Linked DNA regions of Oryctolagus cuniculus. The protein of the gene in region 2 binds, or shares a complex with, the protein of the main gene of each other region. Links are inferred from orthologs where the notes say so. Each region holds a gene or a part of one and is shown on either strand. Other genes may lie near its edges.

Evidence for each region.
Region 1: the proteins of STRN3 (region 2) and STRIP1 are in contact, whole or in part, in a cryo-EM structure (PDB 7K36), measured with the Homo sapiens proteins. The link is inferred for Oryctolagus cuniculus from reciprocal best matches to the Homo sapiens genes STRN3 and STRIP1. Residues at the interface, in NP_001077362.1 of Homo sapiens: Thr64, Pro66, Gly67, Leu69, His70, Tyr71, Gln73, His74, Val88, Glu89, Ala91, Glu92, Ala95, Arg96, Phe99, Leu100, Glu103, Gly106, Gln107, Leu110, Asp113, Leu114; in NP_149079.2 of Homo sapiens: Arg441, Ile445, Tyr447, Leu449, Thr455, Val456, Val457, Gly458, Leu459, Arg491, Ser492, Pro493, Leu494, Ser495, Phe792, Leu793, Pro794, Val795, Asn797, Cys798, Leu799, Val802.
Region 3: STRN3 (region 2) and STK25 share a complex: the UniProt entries of both Homo sapiens proteins name them as parts of the core of STRIPAK complex. The link is inferred for Oryctolagus cuniculus from reciprocal best matches to the Homo sapiens genes STRN3 and STK25.
Region 4: STRN3 (region 2) and STK24 share a complex: the UniProt entries of both Homo sapiens proteins name them as parts of the core of STRIPAK complex. The link is inferred for Oryctolagus cuniculus from reciprocal best matches to the Homo sapiens genes STRN3 and STK24.
Region 5: the proteins of STRN3 (region 2) and MOB-like protein phocein are in contact, whole or in part, in a cryo-EM structure (PDB 7K36), measured with the Homo sapiens proteins. The link is inferred for Oryctolagus cuniculus from reciprocal best matches to the Homo sapiens genes STRN3 and MOB4. Residues at the interface, in NP_001077362.1 of Homo sapiens: Arg477, Ser478, His479, Phe480, Asp481, Asp501, His502, Thr503, Glu524, Tyr527, Thr528, Arg530, Ala531, Ile533, Ile553, Pro569, Tyr570, Asp571, Thr572, Tyr573, Asp587, Ala588, Trp590, Ala606, Asn652, His683, Asn685, Arg765, Lys766, Lys767; in NP_056202.2 of Homo sapiens: Arg12, Asn13, Arg14, Pro15, Gly16, Thr17, Lys18, Phe22, Trp25, Thr36, Gln40, Gln41, Tyr71, Arg75, Cys78, Leu79, Asn82, Val86, Lys87, Gln89, Ala112, His113, Ile122, Asp123, Arg126, His127, Leu129, Asp130, Gly131, Ala133.
Region 6: STRN3 (region 2) and STRIP2 share a complex: the UniProt entries of both Homo sapiens proteins name them as parts of the core of STRIPAK complex. The link is inferred for Oryctolagus cuniculus from reciprocal best matches to the Homo sapiens genes STRN3 and STRIP2.

The regions. Positions count from the first base shown.
Region 1 is NC_091438.1:60,289,706-60,293,869, forward strand, and holds the start of STRIP1 (striatin-interacting protein 1), read right to left. Parts: upstream 2,801-4,164; 5' UTR 2,760-2,800; coding exon 2,580-2,759; intron 110-2,579; coding exon 40-109; intron 1-39. UniProt on the Homo sapiens protein: Plays a role in the regulation of cell morphology and cytoskeletal organization. Required in the cortical actin filament dynamics and cell shape. Part of the striatin-interacting phosphatase and kinase (STRIPAK) complexes.
Region 2 is NC_091443.1:44,334,543-44,338,707, reverse strand, and holds the start of STRN3 (striatin-3), read right to left. Parts: upstream 2,801-4,165; 5' UTR 2,414-2,800; coding exon 2,132-2,413; intron 2,128-2,131; exon of another isoform or gene 2,085-2,127; intron 2,012-2,084; exon of another isoform or gene 1,780-2,011; intron 1,522-1,779; exon of another isoform or gene 1,365-1,521; intron 1-1,364. UniProt on the Homo sapiens protein: Calmodulin-binding scaffolding protein which is the center of the striatin-interacting phosphatase and kinase (STRIPAK) complexes.
Region 3 is NC_091434.1:283,383-286,882, reverse strand, and holds part of STK25 (serine/threonine-protein kinase 25), read right to left. Parts: intron 2,674-3,500; coding exon 2,443-2,673; intron 1,908-2,442; coding exon 1,851-1,907; intron 1,526-1,850; coding exon 1,417-1,525; intron 618-1,416; coding exon 460-617; intron 375-459; coding exon 189-374; intron 1-188. UniProt on the Homo sapiens protein: Oxidant stress-activated serine/threonine kinase that may play a role in the response to environmental stress.
Region 4 is NC_091440.1:14,035,951-14,039,450, reverse strand, and holds part of STK24 (serine/threonine-protein kinase 24), read right to left. Parts: intron 2,117-3,500; coding exon 1,886-2,116; intron 1-1,885. UniProt on the Homo sapiens protein: Serine/threonine-protein kinase that acts on both serine and threonine residues and promotes apoptosis in response to stress stimuli and caspase activation.
Region 5 is NC_091440.1:69,971,548-69,975,486, reverse strand, and holds MOB-like protein phocein, read left to right. Parts: upstream 1-1,139; 5' UTR 1,140-1,149; coding exon 1,150-1,827; 3' UTR 1,828-3,722; downstream 3,723-3,939.
Region 6 is NC_091434.1:165,685,938-165,689,066, reverse strand, and holds the end of STRIP2 (striatin-interacting protein 2), read right to left. Parts: intron 2,948-3,129; coding exon 2,697-2,947; 3' UTR 2,665-2,696; exon of another isoform or gene 859-2,664; 3' UTR 501-858; downstream 1-500. UniProt on the Homo sapiens protein: Plays a role in the regulation of cell morphology and cytoskeletal organization. Required in the control of cell shape. Calmodulin-binding scaffolding protein which is the center of the striatin-interacting phosphatase and kinase (STRIPAK) complexes.

The DNA.
Region 1 (4,164 bases), on a different chromosome or scaffold from region 2:
AGAAAACTGCCCCCAGATGACAAAAGGACTGTGCTTTACCCGACAGCTCTGCGGCCCACTTGTCTGTGTCAGCATATTCAAACTCAAGGTCTGGTGACTCGGAGTAGCCCTGTTGACAAAAGGAGACAGCGTTACGCGTACTTTACAAAGCAGGAAACAGAAATGCACCCAGAGCCACCACTGTTCCCAGGAAACCACTGCCTCCCCTTTGCTTGCTGTTCGATCACCATATTTCGTCTCCTGGGCTAGCCCCGCGCTCCTCCCCACCAAGCCGTCTCAGAGCACCTTATCCTGTCCCTCCAGAGCGCCTGTAACTACTGCATGTGGGGTCCAGTTTCCACCTCGCCACGAGACTGCAAGGCCCTTGAAAGCAGGAAGTCAGTCCACGTTGATCAGCAGCGATTTCACAATGCCCAGCACAGTCCTCCACTGCTTTATATTCAAATCCCTCTCAAATGAACGAACACAAAGCTTCCAAGTACGTTGTGCCCTGAAGCCACTATTCCACAAAGTGCTAGGATTCCAGAATCTAGGCAGCTAGTGGGCTATCAACCCAGCATTCAAACTCTTAGTCTCTCGCCCTTGTCTCAAACTGCAGTGAGAACTGACAGAGAAGGCAGCAAACAGATGGGCCCGCCTCCCACACACAGGAGAATGCGACAGACCCTTTTCACTGCTGGGCACAGGTGATTACCCAGAACACACCGTCCTGTAGGCCTCGCGATAGCAGAGTGGTGAAGAGAGCGGTTCCCACCCTCAGTCTTAGGTAACATCTACAACAAGAGCTCTGCCCCTTATTCCGAGACAACACACGACCCCTCTCCCAAGTCACTGAGCTTCGCACTTTCCTTTTTAGAAGATTTACTTTACTTAGTCATTTGAAAGTCAGAGTTACAGAGAGAGAGAGAGAGACAGAGAACGAGAACTTTCACCCACTGCTTCACTCCCCAAATGACCACAACAGGCAGGGCTGGGCCAGGCGAAAGTCAGGCACTTCATCTGGGTCTCCCACACGGGTGCAGGACCCCAAACGCTTGGGCCATCTTCCGCTGCTTTCCCAGGCCATAGCAGAGAGCTGGGTCAGAAGTGGAGCAGCTGGGACTTGAACCAGTGCCCATATGGGATGTGGGCCTCGCAGGCGATGGCTTAACCCACCACGCCACAGTGCCAGCCCCAGTTTCTTCCTTTTTGGAATGGGGATGAGGAAAGTCTACCCTGCAGGTTTTTAAGAACCGATCAGGATTATGTAGCACAGAGCGCTCTCGGCAGAGATCAGCCTCCCTATCTCCCAGGCATAGATCCAGCTCCCAGCTACTGCCTTCCGCCTGACTCAGCCTCTGCACCTTAAGGAGACACCTGCAGACAGTCTCCTGGCCTCCCGTGGGTTCAGTCTCGGTGGAAATGAAAAGGTAGTAAGAGACGTGAAAATGCACCCAACGGTATTCAACTGGTCATGGCTACTCAGGAAAATGTAAAGCCATTTTCAAAAATAACCCCTCTCAGGATGAAGGTGGGCTTACGCCCCTCACTCTCACAACCTCCCCGTGCTTGAAAAAGTACTGAGTCGTCCTCCTGGATGTCCCACCACCCACGGGTCCCACAAACGTCGGTTTCCTTTGCTTTTCCAAAGAATTCACTTCCAGCTCCAACTCTGAGCTTGCCAGTGTTTTACACCAGAGGTCTGGGGTTGCAACAAAAGCACAGAAGACGGAGAGGAGCTGATCCTGCACGTCCAAAGCCAGTATCCCGGCTCTGCGGCGGGGAAGAGTGGGGACACTGCGCCTGGACAGCGATGGCTCCCTCTCACTCATCAGCGCCAGTCGGCGGAGCGGCCCGGGATTGCGTCAGGTGAAGGAGACTGCATAGTAAGAGCTCTGGCACGCGCTGATTACGATGCCCTACAACGCTGCGACGTGCGTCTTCATTCATGAATCTGCGCAGGGAAGCGGTAGGAGCAACGCCTTCTCTCGGGGCGAGGTGAGCAGTCAGCTGCTCCCCAGCCGGCGCCCCTGGAACTCGAGCGAAGCCTGGGTCCCCGGCACGAGTGCGTCTAATCCTTTAAGGGCCCCCAGCATCGGGCGCTCTGGGCACACCAAGCACTGCCAACCCATGGCCGGAGCCTGCACCAGAGGCAACGCCCCCTGCTCTCGAAAGCTCCGGCCTCGCTGTACTATGAGTGGTCATTAGCTCCATCCGCCTTCCAGGCGCCTTGTGTCTAAACCCTCGCCAGCCGCCTCCCTGCCCGCCCGCGCCGTCCGGTCGGCGCCCTCCACCGAGAGGATAAGAGACTGGGGGCGCCCGCTTTTCATCGGCGGCCGCGGCGGGGGCGGCTTGTCCGCGGGAGCCAGCGGGTGGATGCCGGCTCCGGGAGCCTGTCTCGGGCGGCGCTGCCAGCCTCACGCCCCCGGCCCGGGGAACTGCCACACCAGCCTCGCTGCCTGCTCCTTCGGCTGTAAAGTGACAGCTCCCCGGTCCCGCCCCGCCGAACCCCCCGGGAAGCCCAGCTCGGCCGCGAGCGCGAGCCCGGGCCCCCAGCCGCCGCCCGCCGGGTCCTAGCCTCGCCCCCAGAAGCTCCTGACCTCCGAGTCTTTGCGCTGGTTGCGGTTGAACTCGCGGGTTTTGCCTCCGGGCAAGAGGCCTCCGCCCGCTCGCGGTGCTCCAGGGGGAGGCTGCGCAGCCGCGGGCGGTGGAGGTGGCGGCGGCTGAGGCTGTTTGTTATTCACAATCAGAGGGCCTGGACCACCGGCTGCCGGCTCCATCTTGGCTGTTCCACACCCCCGGCTCAATTCACGAACAGTCCCCGGGATGCAAATCTCGCGTGACTTCCTCCAGGAACGCTCTCTCTGTTCGCCATATTGAGTGTGGCGGCAAGTGCGGGAAGCCATCTTGGCTGCCCGACATCTCGCGATATTTCTCCTGGCTGAAATACTGGTTTTCTTGGTCTTTTCAGTTTCTGCTCTTTCTCTCCAGTTCTACTCAGATGTCGTTCTGTGTGTGAGGCCTGCTCTATCTCGTTCAGTCTGTTTAGCGGCCCCCCTCTTTCCTCTAAAATCGATTTACACTTAGCAATGTCATAGCAGTGTTCAAAACTTAGGGATACCGTAGGGAACAAGATGGATAAGACCTTTTCATGGAGTTTGCACTCATTTGGGGTAGCCATGCACGACTAAATCAATCACAGTGTGGCACGTGCACTCATTGTCTGCTATGCTTAAGCAGTGAGATAGCACAGAGAAAACTCCCAGTCCATAAATGCCTAGTGGGCCAAACAATGAACAAAAAAGGGTGATATTAGAGAAATAAGGCTGTGAGGTATTCGAGGAAAAGGTATTCATGACACTTGTTAAAGATATCAGGGCAGAGCCGGCGCCGTGGCTCAATAGGCTAATCCTCCACCTTGCGGCGCCGGCACACCGGGTTCTAGTCCCGGTCAGGGCACCGGATTCTGTCCCGGTTGCCCCTCTTCCAGGCCAGCTCTCTGCTATGGCCAGGTAGTGCAGTGGAGGATGGCCCAGGTGCTTGGGCCCTGCACCCCATGGGAGACCAGGAAAAGCACCTGGCTCCTGGCTCCTGCCATCGGATCAGCGTGGTGCGCCGGCCGCAGTGCGCCGGCCGCGGCAGCCAGTGGAGGGTGAACCAACGGCAAAGGAAGACCTTTCTCTCTGTCTCTCTCTCTCACTGTCCACTCTGCCTGTCAAAAAAAAAAACAAAAAAACATTTAAAGATATCAGGGCAGAATTTGTTCAACAGGGCACAAGTATAGGGGCCACTGCAACTTTGGCTTGCCTTAAGGGAGAGATTGAACCTAACTTTGCCTCCAAAAAGGACAAGTGAGGATCCGTGGACCAAAAACTACTAGGAGGAAGCATCAAGGGTAAGGTTTCTGACTAAGCTGACTTGACAGGATTACTGCTGGGGGCAGCCAGAGTACTGAGACATCAAGAGTGGTCCCACATCAAGGGTGAGTTTTTTGTTAAACTGACTTTGCAGGATTCTTGCTCAAACTGGATTCAACAAGGACAGAGAAGGGAGCCCCAGTTCAGGCCTGGTCAGGCAGAAGACTCAGGAGCCTTAACAAAGTTTGATCCAAGGAGAGAAAAACAAGAGTAAGTATAAGGGATTATGAGGTGGCAAGTGGGGGCTGGCTAATGGGTTAAGCCACAC
Region 2 (4,165 bases):
AAAAACAAGAGCTAGGGCAGGCAATATAGACTTCATACCAGTAAAACTTTTCCTCAGCTACGTAACATGAAGGAAGCTTATGAGTAACAAGTACAACTGTTAACTTGCAAAGTGTTAAAATCAAAGCTTGTGTACAACAAAGGTCAAAAAATCATCATGGACCAGTGGCATATAATTTAGTTGAGTCCAAGCCTCAGTGCGATTTTTTAAGATAATTGTTTTTACTAGCTTCACTCTACTTACACAGAAAATTAAGTTCCCAGCACAGTGTAGCTATACACCAACAGAACTCTACAAATCTCAGTATTTTAGAGAAGGCTGCACCCAAGTTAAAAGAAATCACAGACCTCAGCTTTTTGAAAGTTGTATTTTTAAAGCCCTATAGTATAGCACAGCACAGTTCTAAAACACAACAGGTGTAAACTTGTAAATTTTTTGAAACTTGATAAAGTATCAAAATATGTAAATATTTTAACTTTTTAAAGACGTTTAACTTCACCCACTTAGTGGAATCATTGGTTCACTAGTTCAAAAATCAAACTGAAGAGATTCACATTTGTTTGAGGACACCCTTTCTATGTAATCCAATCTTCCTTCAACACTGTTTTCCTAACTATATGCACCATAGGCATATATGACGAGGCACAACACCGCTTGCATCCTAAATATATTAACAGCCTGAAGAACAGGTGCAACACTATTTAGATACATGTTTTTCCTCTAGACCTAAATCTGCCCTAGAAAGGGGCTTAAACACAACTATTCAAAAAAGTTAAGCCGGCGCCGTGGCTCAATAGGCTAATCCTCCACCTTGCGGCGCCGGCACACCGGGTTCTAGTCCCGGTTGGGGCGCCGGATTCTGTCCCGGTTGCCCCTCTTCCAGGCCAGCTCTCTGCTATGGCCAGGGAGTGCAGTGGAGGATGGCCCAGGTGCTTGGGCCCTGCACCCCATGGGAGACCAGGAAAAGCACCTGGCTCCTGGCTCCTGCCAGGATCAGCGCGGTGCGCCGGCTGCAGCGGCGGCCATTGGAGGGTGAACCAGCGGCAAAGGAAGACCTTTCTCTCTCTGTCTCTCTCACTGTCCACTCTGCCTGTCAAAAAAAAAAAAAAAAAAAAAAAAAAAAAAAAGTTAAATAACCCTTTCAAAAACGTGCAACAATTTTGAAAGGCAAGACAGGAGCCCCCAGCTACCAGTATCTTCCAAAAGCTAGATAACGCGGACTATCCAAGGGTCACAGTAAGAGGAAGGATCCTCAGGACATTTAAGCCGGCTTCTCCTGCATGAGTCAGTAATGTCAGAGAAGTACGCTTTACTTCAAGTAAAAATGTTCAGTCTTCTCAGCCGTTTCCGAAATCCAGCAGCTTAGTTTGGTTTGGCTTTCTAGCGGTCATCTCGGGGCTGAGAGGGGGAGGTCTAGCGAAAGGTACTCTGAAAAGTCAAGTCCGGTGTTCAAAGCGTTGATGAGTCACTAAGTAAGGAAGAACTACAGAGAAGCCAAGGGAGAGTAAAGCAGCATCCCAGGTAAGAAAGTACTGAGGAGTAGACGGTGGGAAACGGAAACTTCACAGGTCAGCCGCCAGCCACTGTGCTTGGCGGCAGTCCGAGGAAGAAGCGTGCCTGTCAAGGGGCAAGTGCCCACCAAGTCGCGGGAAGGGGCCACCCAAGTCAAATGGGAAGGGGTGGGGGTGTCCGGAAAAAGGTGGGAAGATGCTCACCCCGGCCCTCTCCTCGGGGTCGCAACCTCAAGAGGAACAAACAAGAGCAAACTCGGGGTCCAGAGGCCCCACGCCGGACTCTCCGGCACAGAGGAGATCGGCCTCAAGTCCCGGAGGCCCGGGCAGGCCGCCTCCGGAGGAGCCCCCGCAGACGCCATACTAAAAGCCAAAATGGCTGCCCCGAGCGAGCCCGTACCGCGTAGCTAAGTGAGGGTTGGGGAACGGGCTTCTGCGGGAAAGGGGGAGGGGGACCTAGGAAGAGCCGACGCCAGGACCAGCACCCCCGAGCCGCACAGGTAGGTGCCTCCCGGCCTCCCAAGTCGCGGGCGCCGGCGGAGGAGAGCCCCGGCCCCACCCCCCGGCCGGGATCCCCGCCGCCGCCGCCGCCGTCCCGCACACCGACCCCAGCGAGGTACCTGCAGTTCGGCCCGCTCCACCTCCCAGTGCGCTCGCTCCATCTCGAACCGAGCCCACTCGTGCTGGATGTAGTGCAGGATCCCCGGGATAGTGTACTGCTGCGGCCGGGACAGCTCGGGGCCTGCCGCGGGACCCGCTCCCTCCGAGGCCGTTGGACCCCCGCCGCCCGCCGCTCCATTCCCTCCCGGCGAGAGGCTCAGGTTCCCCCCAGGTCCCTGCTGCTGCCGGGGAGGGGCCGCCATCCCCGGGCCTCCACCACCGCCTCCGGCAAGCTCGTCCATTGTGTGAGGGGCCCCGGCCGGGGCACAGGGCGAGACGCCGACTGCCGGGGGAAGGGCCGGAGAGGGTGGCACCGCGCTGGCGGCGGGGCGGAGGCCGCCGGGAGAGGGGCGGGGAGGGGGTCGTTGCTGTGTGCCTGCCGTGGGTCAGAGCAGGGAGCTGCCGGCCGCCGCCATTACAGTCCCTCCTCCATCTGCCGGTCTCACTCACTCACTTTAGGGGAAGGGGGGGCCGCGGCGGGCGGGGGGAAAGGAGGCAGGGTTGGAAAAGGGATCGACGTAGGATCGCCGCTCCCGCACGGCATGCCGGGTATAGAACGCCGCTGCCGCCGCACGCTTAATGGCCAAATAGAGTGCGGCCTCACCCTACGCAGGCGCACTGAGGACGCCGTCCGGCCGCGGAGAGGCGGCTGTTAGGGGGCGGGGAAGGAGCGCGGCTCCTCCCCCAGGCCCGCCCTCAGACCCGTGCCGAGTGTCCCGACGCGGGTTACCGCAAAGCTGGGGCTCCAGCTCCCACTTTTGGGAGCCAGTTGGGCCTTGAACGAGAGACTGTCAGTTTCCTGTTCGTAGACCGAGCCCGGGAGCCGTTACCCAGCCCGAGGGTCTCAGCCATGTGCCTGCCTTCGGAGCTGGGTTTGAACTTGGTTGATCGCTCTGGCCGGTTGCTGCCCACCCTGAATTCCTGACGTTTCTGTTGCATTCTTTGCGTGTTTCAGGCGGTCCCACAGGGTTGGGGCTCTTTCTCTGCCTGTCACTCGCTCTGTCTCCGGTTTCTGAGCGCCAGTCAGTTCCCGGGATTGGGGGACGTTCTCTTTCTGGCAGATCGCCCGGATCTTCGCGGCCGTGGTGACTGGCTGCCCGAGTCGGTCCCGCTTCTGGGCGCCGGGTCGCCTGCCGACCTGTTACACTTTGCCTCCCATCCTGGGACGGGCGTGTTTCAGCGGGTGGGGAGGGGAGCTGGAAACGGTCGTTTTCTTTCTTTTTTTCCCCCCTTGGGAGAAGAGGAGGTAGTGAGATCCTTTGGATTTTGACGATGGTGACTAGAAAGGAAAAGATAACTTTGAAGGAGATGGGTTACGTTTTAGAACTGAATGAGCTCGCAAGAACTTTCATTAATGATAGAATCTTTTGATCTAAATAGAAGATAAAAGCAGCATGAATATAGTTTAAAATCCTGGGTGGACGGCTAAAGATGTTTTCCTGGGTCATTAAATGTTTGAATGAATATAATATACACATAAAAGGTAAGTGTGTATAAGGACAGTCGTGTAATTTTTACGTGCTTAGTTTCCCAGGAAATATCCTAACGAACTAGTAACTTTCCAATCGTTAATACAGCTAGTGATCGTTTGTTGAAAAAAGGACAAAGATACTCTAACAGCATATAAAGAAAAGAGGGTCAGTAATTACAGTCATACAGGGAAACTGGGTGTACAATTAGTTGCATCTCTAAAATGTTTTTTCTTGTAAAAAACTAACAAAAGTTTCACTATGGGATGCACCATTTGGCTTGCGATTTCAAAGAGATAAAGTGGTAGATCATTTGCCTTGTTACTATAGTTTAATGGAAAACAGCTTAGACGTAACTACCCATGCTGCCATATTTTATATATGCATAAAGTGAGATCTTAGATTGTAGTAATATTAAGAACTATTTGTCCATATTATTAAATACAATTGTTTTCATTTTAAAGTGACGGGATAGAACCTCTTTATTCAGTCCTATTCCTTGGGGGAGATGTGGCTCCTATCACA
Region 3 (3,500 bases), on a different chromosome or scaffold from region 2:
CGCTGCCCCGGGGAGGCCACACACGTGACAGGCTGGGCGCTGCCCCAGGGAGGCCACGCACACGACAGGATGGGCACCGAGGCTGGGAGTCACCTCTGAATCCTGCTGCCCCCTGGGTGAACACCCCCCCATTCTGGGAGCTGCGCAGGCCACAGCCTGCCTGGGTCAGGGGGTGAGGCGGGCCTTACGAAGCGGGGGTCCTTGTTGAGGCAGGCCTCCACGAACTCCTTGAAGGGCTTGCTGTGGGCACCCTCCAGCGTGGGTGGGTTGTTCTTGGGGATCAGGAACAGGACTCGCATGGGGTGCAGGTCGGAGTTCGGGGGCTCCCCCTTGGCAAGTTCGATGGCTGTGATTCCCAAGGACCAGATGTCGGCCTGCACAGGGTGCCAAAAGGACCACTGCTGCGTGCGGCACCCCGAGGAGGCCACGGCACCCACAGCCCTGGCCGCTGTCACCCACCTTGAAGTCATAGGCAGACTGTTTGATGACCTCGGGCGCCATCCAGAAGGGCGTGCCCACAAACGTGTTCCTCTTGATCTGCGTGTCCGTGAGCTGCCCGGCCACCCCAAAGTCCGCCAGTTTCACGTCGCCCTGCTCAGACAGCAGCACGTTGGCGGCTGCTCGACACAGGACAGGGGCGCGTCAGCCTCAGCTCCCAGTGCCCCCAGGCAGTCCTGCGTGTGGCTGCCTGACCCAGGGACCCCCTCCCAGGTACCTAAGCTCTCCTTGGCACACTCAAACCCATGCCAACATGGGCTCCAGGGCATGACCAGCAAGAGCCCAGCAAGCCGACCCTGAACTGCCCAGCCTAAGCTCTAGGGCCCTCTCTGTACTGGCTTACCCAATGTGCCACCAGAGCAGCACCCCACAGGCTCCTGCAGAGCTGACCCTGATCCTGAACCTGACCCAAGCTGGCCAGGAAGCCCCTTGCTTGGCTGGCTGCATCCTCACAGCCTGGACAAGTCCTTCCCATGGCAGGTGCAGCCTCACGCATACAGTGAGGAGGGGGCCACACGGTGGGGTCCCACAAACCCTCTGAGCTGCACCACTGACAGCACTTCCTGGAAATGGAGCCCCCAGATGGCCACAGCCCGGCCCCCACCCCCCACGGCAGCAGGACCACAGGGCCCCCACACCCAGGCCCGTGGCAGCACGCCCACAGCACGACCCCCACCCCCCACCCCCCACGGCAGCAGGACCACAGGGCCCCCACACCCAGGCCCGTGGCAGCACGCCCACAGCACGACCCCCACCCCCCACCCCCCACGGCAGCAGGACCACAGGGCCCCCACACCCAGGCCCGTGGCAGCACGCCCACAGCCCGGCCCCCACCCCCCACCCCCCACGGCAGCAGGACCACAGGGCCCCCACACCCAGGCCCGTGGCAGCATGCCCACAGCCCGGCCCCCACAGGACCTTTGATGTCCCGGTGGATCTTGCGCTCCGAGTGCAGGTAGTCCAAGCCCTTCAGGATCTCCCGCAGGATCGTGGCGATGGAGGTCTCTTCCAGGGGGCCGGGCTTCAGCTGCACGGGAAGACGGGACAGCAGGGCCTCGGCTCCCCCACCCCCACAAGGCCGGGGCCTCGATTCCAGCCCCTCCAAGAGGGGTGCCCTGTGCACATCTGAGGCTCCAGGTCCCTCCAGGGCAGGCGAGCCTGCTTGTACCTTCACTGAAAGCCTGGCAGGGGACGGGGCCCAGCTGGACCACCCACTTGGGCGCACTGCCACCCTCCTCGACAGGGACCAGGATCCCTCCGAACACCAAATCCATTAAAACACCGAGAGGAGGCCCACGGGAGCTGTGACACCCCCCACAGCAAGCCGCCCACTATTGGGGCCCACACCTTACCAGGTCCAGTGCGGAGCCACCACCAAGGTACTCCATGATAATCCAGAGCTTGGTGCTCTGGAACACAGAGAAAGCCATTAGCTCTTGGGACCAGCACTGTGGAGTGGAGGTTAAGCCACTGCCTGCAATGCCAGCACCCCGCATGAGCAACCAGTTCAAGTGCAGCCAGCTGCTCCACTTCCAACCCAGCTCCCTGCTAACACAGCCGGACAAGCAGCAGAAGATGGCCCCCACATCTTTGTGGGAGACCCAGAGAAAGCTCCGAGCTCCCGGCTTTGGCATGGCCCAGCCCAGGCCAGCCCCAGGCACTGTAGCCACTTGGGGAGTGAACCAGCAGATAGAAGATTTCTGCCTTAAAAAATAAAGAAAAGAAACCCATTAGCTCTTGGCTGTGGCCGGGAAGCAGGCCCAGGTGTGGAGTCCACAGACCCCTCCCAGTCGCAAGTGGGGAGGAGCCAGCCAGGGCTGTCCCCCCGAGGAACCCCAACAGGAAAAGCCCCCAGCAGCCTCCTGGCTCCCCTGGCAGCGCACCCCGTGGAGCACTTGGCAGACACGGCCAGTGCTCCAGGCAGGCGCCAAGCCCCCCAGCCACCTTCAGGTAGGAGCCGAAGTAGCGGGTGATGTAGGGGCTGTCGCACTGGCTGAGCACGGTGATCTCCTGCTGGATGTCCTCGATCTCGTCCTCCGCCTCCTCCAGGTCGATGATCTTGATGGCCACCACCTCCTTGGTGTGGTTGTCGATGCCCTTGTACACCTCCCCGAACGAGCCCTTGCCGATGCGGTCCAGCTTGGTGAACAGCTCCTCGGGGTCCACGCGGGGGTGCTGCAGGGCCCAAGGGACAGGGTGGGCAACGCCGGTCAGGGGCTGGACAGGCAGAGGCTCCCCGGGGGACACACCTCAGGGACCTGCAGCAGGCACGGGGCAGTCCTTTTCTGGTTTTATCTTTTACCTTTTTTGTTCAGAAAACTACAATTCCCTCTCCTTGTAAGGCAGCAGCTCCTCAGGGAAAGACACAGAGCACCTGGGACCATGTCCACAGCTGTGCAAGATACCAGCAGGTCAGCACCCCCAGGAGGCAGGCAGGGATGCAGGGACTCTATCACCCCAAAACCATTCCTACAAAATGCCACCTAAGGCCTGGCTCTGTGGTGCAGCGGGTTAAGCCATCGCCTGTGACGCCAGCATCCCCTATGAACACGGGTTCCCGTCCTGACTACTCCAATTCCGATCTAGCTCCCTGCCAACGTGCCTGGAAAAGCAGCGGAAGATGACCCAAGTGCTTGGGCCTCTGCCACCCCGAAAGAGATCTGGATGGAGCTCCACCTCCTGGCTTCAGCCTAGCCCAGCCCCAGGCATGGCAGCCATCTGGGGAGTGAACCAGAGGACGGAAGACCCCCGTTTCTCCCCCTCTCTCTGTAACCCTGCCTTTCAAATAAACTCATAGATCTAAAAACATATTCATACAATCTATTAAGAACAACAGAACCCAACCTGTGGTGATGAGACCCTACATCACAGCCACAGCCCCTGGAGGACTTCCCCACCCCGGAACCAGGGTCACACCAGCAGAGTCCAGCACTGGCCTTTCTCAGAAGCCTGAGTCCAGGTACTCCAACTCCACAGACGCTGACCACATGGTCCTCGGGTTT
Region 4 (3,500 bases), on a different chromosome or scaffold from region 2:
GCTTGGCCTCACTGTGTGCCTTCACTGCCAGCTCCCCCATCACAGGACGAGGTACGAACAAATCCAAGCAGTTAAGAAAGGAATAATTCAGCACCCACCAGACGGCAGGTACCTCCGCACACCTGACCCCATTTCGTCTTTGCAACAATGACGTATTTATACCATAATTTCCCACCTGACACAGAAGGAAGTGGGAAAGTGTAAGATACAAGCGCACCAGCAGCACATCCAGGTCCAGGGTCACCTGACTCCAAGGTCACCTGACTCCAAAACTCACTCCTTCCGCTTCAGGATGATGCATTTGACACTATGACGCACTGCCACTGTCCATACCATGGGAAAAATGGGGCACTCAAAAGGGTTCTCAAAACGCCCATCTTCAACTTACACCCTACCGCCCTTCTACAAGACCAACACCTGCACTGACCTGCAGACATCACAGCAAGGTGCAAGCTGTAACTTAGGAATTCAGGGAACAGACTCAGGAGAGGGGGAGGCCTGCTCTTAACTTACCCATGGCCACTGCTGCCCTCTTGGTCGTTTCTAACTACTAGGATTTGGGATCCACAAGAACTGTTGCAGTCTGCTTTTTCACCAATTTTTTTTTAAGATTTATTTTATTTATTTGAAAGACAGAGTTACAGAAAGATGTAGAGACAGAGAGGTGTCTTCCATCCGCTGGTTCACTCCCCAGATGGCCGTAACAGCTGGAGCTGAGCCGATCCAAAGCCAGGAACAGGAGCATCTTCCAGGTCTCCCACGTGGGTGCAGGGGCCCAAGGACCTGAGCCATCCTCCGCCGCCCTCCCAAACACATCAGCAGGGTGCTGGACTGGAAGTGGAGCAGACAAGACTCGAACCGGCATCCATATGGGAGGCCGGCACTTTAACCCACTGTGCCACAGCGCCAGCTCCACCAATTCTTAAAATTTCCAAAACCCCATGGGAACAGACATCACATCTGTAAGTTCTGGGAAGCCAGCCCCTATTAAGGAAGTTGAAATGTAAGAGATCCTCTCTAGTTTTCTTAGTGGTAGGACAGGATCACTCTACACACCTAAAATGCCAAAAACGGTTTCATGCAGGATGAGAAAGCCATCTGTAACAACGGAGTAATGGGCGGGAGTTAGGCCTGGCAGTTAAGACAGCAAACAGGAAACCTGAATCACCTGGCAGAGTACCAGTTCCTGACTCCAGCTCCTTGCTAACAGAAGCCCTGGGAGGCAGCAGGTAATGATTCTAGCAGTTGGGTTCCTGCTGCCCACATGGGAGACTTCAACGAGCTCCTGACTCCCAGCCCAGCCACAGCCATGTGGGCACTGAAGGAATGAACCAACAGACAGGAGCTCTCTGTTTTAGCGCATCTGTGCCCCCCAAATTAAAAACAAAAAGCACATTAAAAAAAAAAAAAAAAACTGAGTGCTGAGTAAAGGTCAAGGTCAAGGTCAAGGGTACTTCGTGGAGCTGCGTTTCACTGCAACCACTATTGTACTGAAGTGACTGCTTCTTGAAAACATGTGGCTAAACTAATCAATTGTCAGCAGCAATTTTTAAAAAGAACATCAAATTAAACCACAGTTGATGGCTTTTACTGCCAATCATAAGCCATCTGAATATCACATATTATTATTATTATGACTTAATAAGAACTGTTGCTGACAACCAAGTCCCACTCAGAAATGCCTTCGTGTGTGAAACAGAACTGCAACATCAAACACTTGAAACATGCTCCCTTAGGTGACGTGTGAGATGACAGGACCAGCAAAGCCAGCATTTCTCCCTCCTCCAATAACCTGAACGCTGTAACGAGTCCTTTACGGCGCCGCTCAGGGCTCGGGGCTCGGTCCAGCACTGCGTCACGGAAAACGCGTTATTTTTAAGCCTACCTTCAGATAGGACCCGTAGTACTTGGTTACGTAGGGACTGTCGCACTGACTCAGCACGGTGATTTCTTGCTGGATGTCCTCTATCTCATCCTCTGCTTCTTCCAGATCAATGATTTTGATGGCAACTACTTTCTGAGTCCGATTGTCAATGCCCTTGAACACTTCGCCAAAGGAGCCCTTCCCGATTTTCTCGAGTTTTGTGAAAAGCTCTTCTGGATCCGCTTTCAGATTCTGCAGAAAAGAAAAGAAGGGGAATTTAACACTTCCCAGCGTCACGACAGTTCTTCCATGTCATCAGCAGCGTTACAAACGCCACAGACCAGTCCCCCAGGACTGACGTGGCTCCTGGGTCAAGGACCGGGCTGGCTGTGAGCACTGTCCTTCAGCTCAGGAGTGAGGTTCCCAGGTCTCGCAGCCTGTGTGGATTAGACAACTACACGCAGCATGTGTGCAGCAAGAACCATCACCCAGCTAGATTAGAAAAGCTGGAAAAGGCTCCAGCGGCTGTATAATGAAAGTAATTAAAAATCTAAATGCTTATTTGAACAGGTTAGAATAGATATATTAGCTTATTAAAAATGCACCCTTCTCGCCAGTGCCGCGGCTCACTAGGCTAATGCTCCACCTGCGGCGCCGGCACACCGGGTTCTAATCCCAGTTGGGGCACCGGATTCTGTCCCGGTCGCTCCTCTTCCAGTCCAGCTCTCTGCTGTGGCCCAGGAAGGCAGTGGAGGATGGCCCAGGTCCTTGGGCCCTGCACCCACATGGGAGACCAGGAGGAAGCACCCGGCTCCTGCCTTCGGATTGGCGCAGCGCGCCGGCCACAGCACACCAGCCGTAGCAGCCACTTGGGTAGTGAACCAACAGAAAAAGGAAGACCTTTCTCTCTGTCTCTAACTCTGCCTGTAAAAAAAAAAAAAAAAAAAAAAAAAAAAAAAAACCAAACACCCTTCTCTCAAACAGAAAGTGCACTTTGCTCGCCCACCTTATGCCCAAATTTTCCTAAATTCAAATGGATATTTACTAAGCCATGGCTGGTTGTCACATGTGACAGGGAACGTGCATCCTACTGCTTCACAGCAGGCCACGCTTTCATGCTCACTAGATAAGCCCCAGGCCTTCACTTACATCCCAGCTCCCAGCTCTGCAACACCGCCCCCATCAGACCCCAGAAAACAGCAGCAGGCTGCCGTTCCGTCACATAAATGCCGCGCCCTTGAAACAGCTCCTGAAGGCTCTTCGCCGGGAACCTGATTAGTCGCATGCACACCTGTCTACACCTGTGGTACTCACTGCCAAGGACCCCAACACACCTGTCCGATTCATTCCCAAGGACCCCAACCAGCCGTGAGGACTCAAGCACCCATCCTGACCTCTGCACAGTGGGAGGGGCTACTTGTCACCAAGCTGAGGCTGGGCCCTAGGATGCCACCCATCTCTGCACAAGGAAGTGCCCAACCCAAAATGCCAACAGCACCAGGGACCAGTGCCAACCCAGAACCCCCAGAGCAAGGAGAGCTCAGGGCCACCAATCCTGATGCGTCTGTCCTCAATAACACGCACAGGGAAGAGGATGCCGGGCCAACCCTCCGAAGTCTCTTATTCCTTCAAAGAA
Region 5 (3,939 bases), on a different chromosome or scaffold from region 2:
TTGCAAAAAGCCAGCCAACTTCTCAGGGAAGCAGTAAATGGCTTTTCTCTTTGCAGCCAACATGCAAATTTTGAAGCTCACTGAAAGGGTAGTCTCAGGCTTCACACAAGAGAAAATACAGGAAGACCGAGTCCTGCCAATGTAATTACCAGAGAGAAAGAGCTGACATGCCAGTACTAACAGCCATGGCCAAGGACACTGGTAAGAATTGCCATCATGGGGCTGGCGTTGTGGCATAGCAGGTTAAGCCACCACGTGCAATGCCGGCATCCCATTATGGCACTGATTGGAGTCCTGGCTTCTCCACTTCTGACCCAGATCCCTGCTAGTGTGCCTGGGAAAGCAGTGGAGAATGGCCCAAGTGCTTGAGTCCCTGCACTCATGAGGGAGACCGAGTTCCTGGCTCTTGACTTCAGCCTGGCCCAGCACCAGCCTTGCACCCATCTGGGGAGTGAACTAGTAGATGGGAGATCTCTTTCTCTCCCATCTCTCCCTCTCTCTCTTTCTGCAACTCTACTTTTCAAGGAAATAAAATAAACTGCATCATGAAGACAGGGAACATCAGAACTAATGGTCAAAGGCTAGTGTTCTTTAGGATTTCTTGGGATATTTCAGAGATTTTGGAGCAAGAGAGAGAGGGAAAGGGAGGGAAGGAGGAAGGCAATATCACTATGTTCATAGAATTGTATCTACATGTTACATTGACTGCTTATAACTAATTGAAAATCAAAATTAAAAAATAAAATTTTTAAAAACACATTTACTGTTCTCACTTTTATATATATAATACACACACACACACACACACATATATATATAATTTTCATTTGTTTCTCACTCGGCAACCATTCCTCCTGGTGGCTCTACCTTAGCAAGAATATCCAGATTCTTTTTTGTCTTCCTCTCTCCCTCCCCTCCTGCATCCCTCCCTCACTTCCTCTGTGTGTATCCAGATTCTAATGGTATGACTACAGCATTCCTGTGGCAGCCAAGCACCATCATATCTCCTACCAGGTTGCTCTGCACCCATGCGTGCCTCCCTGGGGTCAGTTCTCAACATAAGTCCAGAGTGATGCATGGTCACAGGAGTTCAAAAACTCACAGATGAATAGAAATTTTCTTAAAAGGCAGGGTGGAGATTCTGGCACTATGGTCATGGCGGAGGGGACGGCAGTGTTGAGGCGGAACAGGCCGGGCACCAAGGCGCAGGATTTCTATAATTGGCCTGATGAATCCTTTGATGAAATGGACAGTACACTTGCTGTTCAGCAGTATATTCAGCAGAACATAAGAGCAGATTGCTCCAATATTGATAAAATTCTTGAACCACCTGAAGGCCAAGATGAAGGTGTATGGAAGTATGAACATTTAAGGCAATTCTGTCTTGAGCTAAATGGACTTGCTGTCAAACTTCAGAGTGAATGCCATCCAGATACTTGTACTCAAATGACAGCAACTGAACAGTGGATTTTTCTGTGTGCAGCTCATAAAACTCCAAAAGAGTGTCCTGCTATAGACTATACTAGACACACGCTTGATGGTGCTGCATGTCTTCTGAATAGCAATAAATATTTTCCTAGCAGGGTTAGCATAAAGGAATCATCTGTAGCAAAACTAGGATCAGTATGCCGTAGGATTTATAGAATATTTTCGCATGCTTATTTTCATCACCGGCAGATATTTGATGAATATGAAAATGAAACCTTTTTGTGTCATCGGTTTACTAAATTTGTGATGAAATACAATTTGATGTCCAAGGATAACCTGATTGTACCAATTTTAGAAGAGGAAGTTCAGAATTCAGTTTCTGGAGAAAGTGAAGCATGAAGGGAATCGTACAGAAAAATGTACTGATCACATAATTAACGTTCATTATGTACTGTATATATCATTTTAGACACATCAATCATGTATTCATATTATAGCTTCTTTGTTTAGATTAGGTTTTTGTATGCTGTGTGTTGCCTTTTAAAAGGGGAAATACTTTTTAAGTTATTCATAAGCTGTATATTCACCGGTGTGGCACTCATGGTTTTTTAAATAAGATTAGTATTATCTGTTTATAATGCCTGTTAATAAAAGAATTTACAGTTTGGTAAAATTGCTGCTAAACAATCATTGGATTACAATCCTCATCAAATAAACCCATATATAAAAAGATGAGTAAGCTTGAGGTCTTGCACAAACCATTTACTAAAGAGATAGTAATGTTTTCCTTTCATTTTGTCCCTGAATTTAGATATTATAGAAAATTCTATAGAACATAAACTGTAAACTTTTCCAAAATGAGATAAAAGTACTTTAAAATTCTGTTTATAGTTTTTGATATGCATTTATGATTATGTGTATATCCAAATATAAATGCAAATGAAGCATTAGTAATTCTTATATAATCTTACTATGCTATATAAAGTATATTCTAGGCCAGCATACTTGGAAAGGATATACCTTTTTACAGCAGTGGACTGTTACATATAAGTTGATGCTAATGATAAGGCACATAAAAGGTATTCCCACTGGAAAACTGTTCACCCCCTTCTCACTTCCCATAATCCTGTCCCCAGATACTTTAGCTGAGAAGTCTTTCACCAGACTGTGACTTAGTGGTGACTTATACCTGTTTATACTCATGTTTGTATTAATTGCTTACAGATTTACCTCATATTAGCAATTATATTACACTACAAGAAAGATGTGTTGGCATAGGCTCTTTGTTTTGTGAAAATTTTCTAACTACTTGGAAGACAGACCTTAAAGCCATTTGATTCTTCCTCTCAGTAATATTAATCTTTTCATCTTACTCTAGGCAGCATTAGAGTTAAAGAAATATTGTAGTATTTATTTTGTACCCTTTCTCCACAAAATTTGAATTAAATACATATGTGAGGTTATTTGCAATAATTGATGCAAGGGTGTTGATGAATGGCCATACATTTTTTAGACTTTGTTGTAGCATATAAGAATTTGGGTGCAGATGTAACGATCTTATAATCTATTGAATGCAGTTTTTCATGGAGTACTAGAGAGGTCTTATTGCCAAATTGATTGTAATGAGGCACTAAGATAGGGTAGAAAAATTATACATGTAGTGAAGAAAATACTTAAACTCATCTCTAAGACATATTTAACAAATGTGAGAAAATTTTTCATTTAAAATAGTTATTTTGAAATGAAGATGAAAATGTATTCATCTTGATTGTCTTCAAAGAAATTATTTATACCATATTATGAGACAAGTATGCAAAGAAAAAAATATGAGAAATAGTAGCATACTGAGAGTGTGTGTATATAGTTTATGCCTTTCCAAGGCTGCCAATCGTTTTGGCTTTGAACAGTACTGTCCCAGCAGCCACAGTCCTTATTGTACCCCAACTCACAGCTATCTTTTAGAAGTTTTATGTTCACGGTGAAAGGAATGTTGAGTTTGAAATTATACGTTTTTTTTTTTTAATGTCACTATAAACTAATGGAATAGTAATTTTTAAGCAAACTTGCTGAATATTGAGAGAATAACCTACTAAGTTAAATTATAGATAGCAATGTAGCTCTTCTCTCTTGATGGTTTCTCATAATGGCTTTCTGTTACTTGACTATTTTCTTGGTGAACATTAGAACTAAAATAGTGACTGGAATTGGTTATCTGGCTAAGGATTTTGAAACACATTTTGAATAATATGACTTAGTGTTTAATGGGGAAATAAAATGATATTTTTTCGTATTCATTCCATCTTCCCTGTACTGTGTTTGGAATTGATCATAAAAGAAAAAAAAAAACTCCAAAAGAAAAAAAAAAAAAAAAAAAGGCAGGGTGGAGGGGGCAAGTGTTTAGTGCTGCAGTTATGTTGCCATTTGGGATGCCAGCATCCAGTACTGGAGTGCTTGCTTTGAATCCTAGTTACTCTGCTTCTGATCTGGCTTCCTGCTAATCTGCACCATGGG
Region 6 (3,129 bases), on a different chromosome or scaffold from region 2:
CACTCCATCCTATACTTGCTGCTCTGTAGGTAGAATGTGTTTCTTTGGCCCAGTATTCATCTTTGCCACATGAGTTGCTTTTGACCAGTGGAATATGGACAGTTTGATTTATGCCACATCCAAGCGGGAGCTTTACCTGGGCTTGCCTCGTAGGTTTTGTTTCTTACTTTTGCCCTTTACTATGAAAATGGTGTGTCCCAAGCAGGAGCTATTCTATCAGCCCAGCGCTGGAATAAGAGCGTTGGAGCAGAGTGAATCTTGCAAGCCACGCTAAGTGGGGCAGACCTGCAGCAGCCTTCTAGACTCGGGAGCAAGGAGTCAGCATTGGTCCGAAATCACAGGATTGAGTCGTTTGTGTTAGTCTACGCCAGGGAACAGTCAGGGTTCCATAATGCAAGGGTTTCCATAATTACCGCCTATGAATGTTCTTCCTTTTTATAAATAGTATAGTATGACTTTAAGATTATCTTGCATTAAAAAAAAAACCTTTAGAGACCAAATTTCTATTTCCAGATTATTTTTCTTTTTATTAAAGTGCTTCAGTAGATAACAGTGTTATCAATCCACATAAACTTTTGCTGAAATATTCACAAATAAAAATCTTCTCTTTACAAATCACTCAAGTGTTCTACGTAGTAACAGCAATCACCACTGGAAGTCAGTTGACATGAATTTATCCCTGACCACACAGATGGGCTCCCAGACTGGAGATTCAGCATGGCTACCTTAGTATACAGGGCTGGGTGGCAGGTCCTGAGAGCCAGGCCCAGCGAGCCTGGGGAAACTCCCTGTGATTTGAAGCTGATCATTCGTCCTTGGTGCTTTAGTGTCTACACATGCACTTCCCTCACGCAGGAGCTGTAAATAACGAACGGTGAAACGTGAAATCTTAGCATGCCTCTGTGCCTCCGAAGACATACTCGTGCATGCTTTTAAAAGGGCAACGTATCCCTGACACAAAGTGAATGAACTACATGACTTTAAAAGAAATAGATTGCTCTCTTCTTGACAACTTGTCTTTTCATGCGAGTTATATTAAAATCATACTGGGCTGATCCTGGATGACTAAAATTCACAGAAGCTATGCTCAGTAAATTATTTTGATCACAGGGGAGACTTCTGTCCTGCCTACGTAGAATTTACAGTTTACTTTAAGAAGTTCATCCATTGCATGCTTACATTCCTCAGGACTTTTCTGTAAAAAGGGAACCGCTGCTATCTGCAAACACAAAGAGATAAAACCCAGTTTAATTGTGATATGTTGATTCAGCTCCTTCAGGTATCGCCAGAGCTCTGTCATGGCTTCCTAACGAGATGTGGTTGACAAAGGGCAGGGTGAATAAGCCAGCTTGGGCTAGACCTCCAGAGTGTGTTCCTGGTGCCATCATAAAGAGATCAGCAGTGTCTGCCCTTGGGGGTGGGCATTAAAGGAGCGTGAATATCTAGATGACAATGGTGGGGACACAGAGCAGTAAAGGATCCTGGCTGAGTCAGGGACTTTTCTACGAGCCTGTTTCGCAGGGGGGTGGGGGTGGGGGTGGGGGTGGGGCTGTGACTCTGCTGTGGAAGAGAGAAGTACAGAGAGGCTGATGCATCAACCCTTCCATCTGCAGTGAAATGTGCAATACGTGTAGGTAGGAGCAGGACTGCTAAATCTCCACATGACACATTGAAACTGCTAGCAGTAAAAAGGGGAAAAAAAAACATTAATCAACATTGGAGGAGAAGAAAAATGGCCAGCTGTGATGCTCTTGCTGTTCTTTTCAATTAAAAATAAATCAATCATGAGCACAAATGGACATGACATCTCAATAAATAAAACCCCCTGTAGTTAGCTTGTCATTAAAAAAAATGACTTGGATGAAAAGGATAATTTTCTGCAGCGTATGCGGCCATTTTAAGACTGAAGTAGTTTGAGAAAAACAAGAAGCGTCCTTAGAGAGGGGCTGATTGTTTCGTGTTGGTTGTGGCCCTTTCAAAACGGCAGTGTACTTCATGCCCTACACAAGGTACACAAGGGAGTAATTTTCATAGTGAACACAGATCTCTTTGGAAATAAAGGGAAAAAACCCTCTATACCCACTTTTGTGTAACATGCGGCATTTAGGGAACCGAAAGTCATCATCCTCCACAAAGGAGGTGCAGGTGCTCCAAAGTCATCCTAGAGCTAACGATTAAAATTTAAAATGTAAAAGACACACTTCATCTCAAAGTTGGTTTTACCACACTTCTGACGAGTGCTAGGAATCCAGGGTGACCAGGAAAACGTGTGCCTATTACGTGACCTGCACCTCCTTCCTCCCTGTGATGAATGCTGTGGGCCCGACGTCTTCACCAACGTCTCCTTCTGGGAGCCAGCAGAGGCTAGCCCTGGGTCTAGCTAAGACTCAAGCGGGCAGAGGTCCCACCAAAGAGCCGGCAAGGATTGATCCACCCAGAGATTTCCAAAGTCAGCTGGGCAGCCGACTGACCCCTGGGCAAGTCCATCAACTTGCTGGGACTCAGCAGCCTCCCGCCATCTCTAGGTCCACAAGTTCCCGGACTGGCCCTGAACTACACTTCACGTCCCTGGGCTGGGCCAGATCCCCCTGAACAAGCAGTCCTGGAGCTGGAAACAGAGGCTGAGTGGGCAGGGTAGGCAGAGCACCATGTATTGGAGCCAACCTCCATCTAGTAGATGCTTTGTTGACAAGGGCTCAGTGATTCTGCAGTAGCTCCTCCCAACAGATGGGCTGTGAAAACACCTCTCTCTCCAGCCAGAGCTCGTAGGAATAGTGGAAATCTTCAGGCAGATCCAACCTCTGCCCCAGCACGCTCTGCAAACAATTATCCACAGGGGAAAATTCCGAGTCCTGGGGCCTGTCATACCGCCGGCTGTTAAAAGCCTCGATGTTGGCCCGCAGGGTGCACTCTTCTGCCTGGAAGTCCCATGGCCTGGCATCGATGTCTGCGTCGGGAAGAGAGGGAGAAAAAGATGTCCACAGTCAGGACAGCACGCCCCTGCCAGAGAGCAAGGTCCACGGCACTCCATGAGCAATATACAAAGTCAAGTATACAGCGTGCTGACAACTAGGGTTAAAAAATACACATGATGCCCACACACGTAAGCTTGTATACGCAGACAGCATC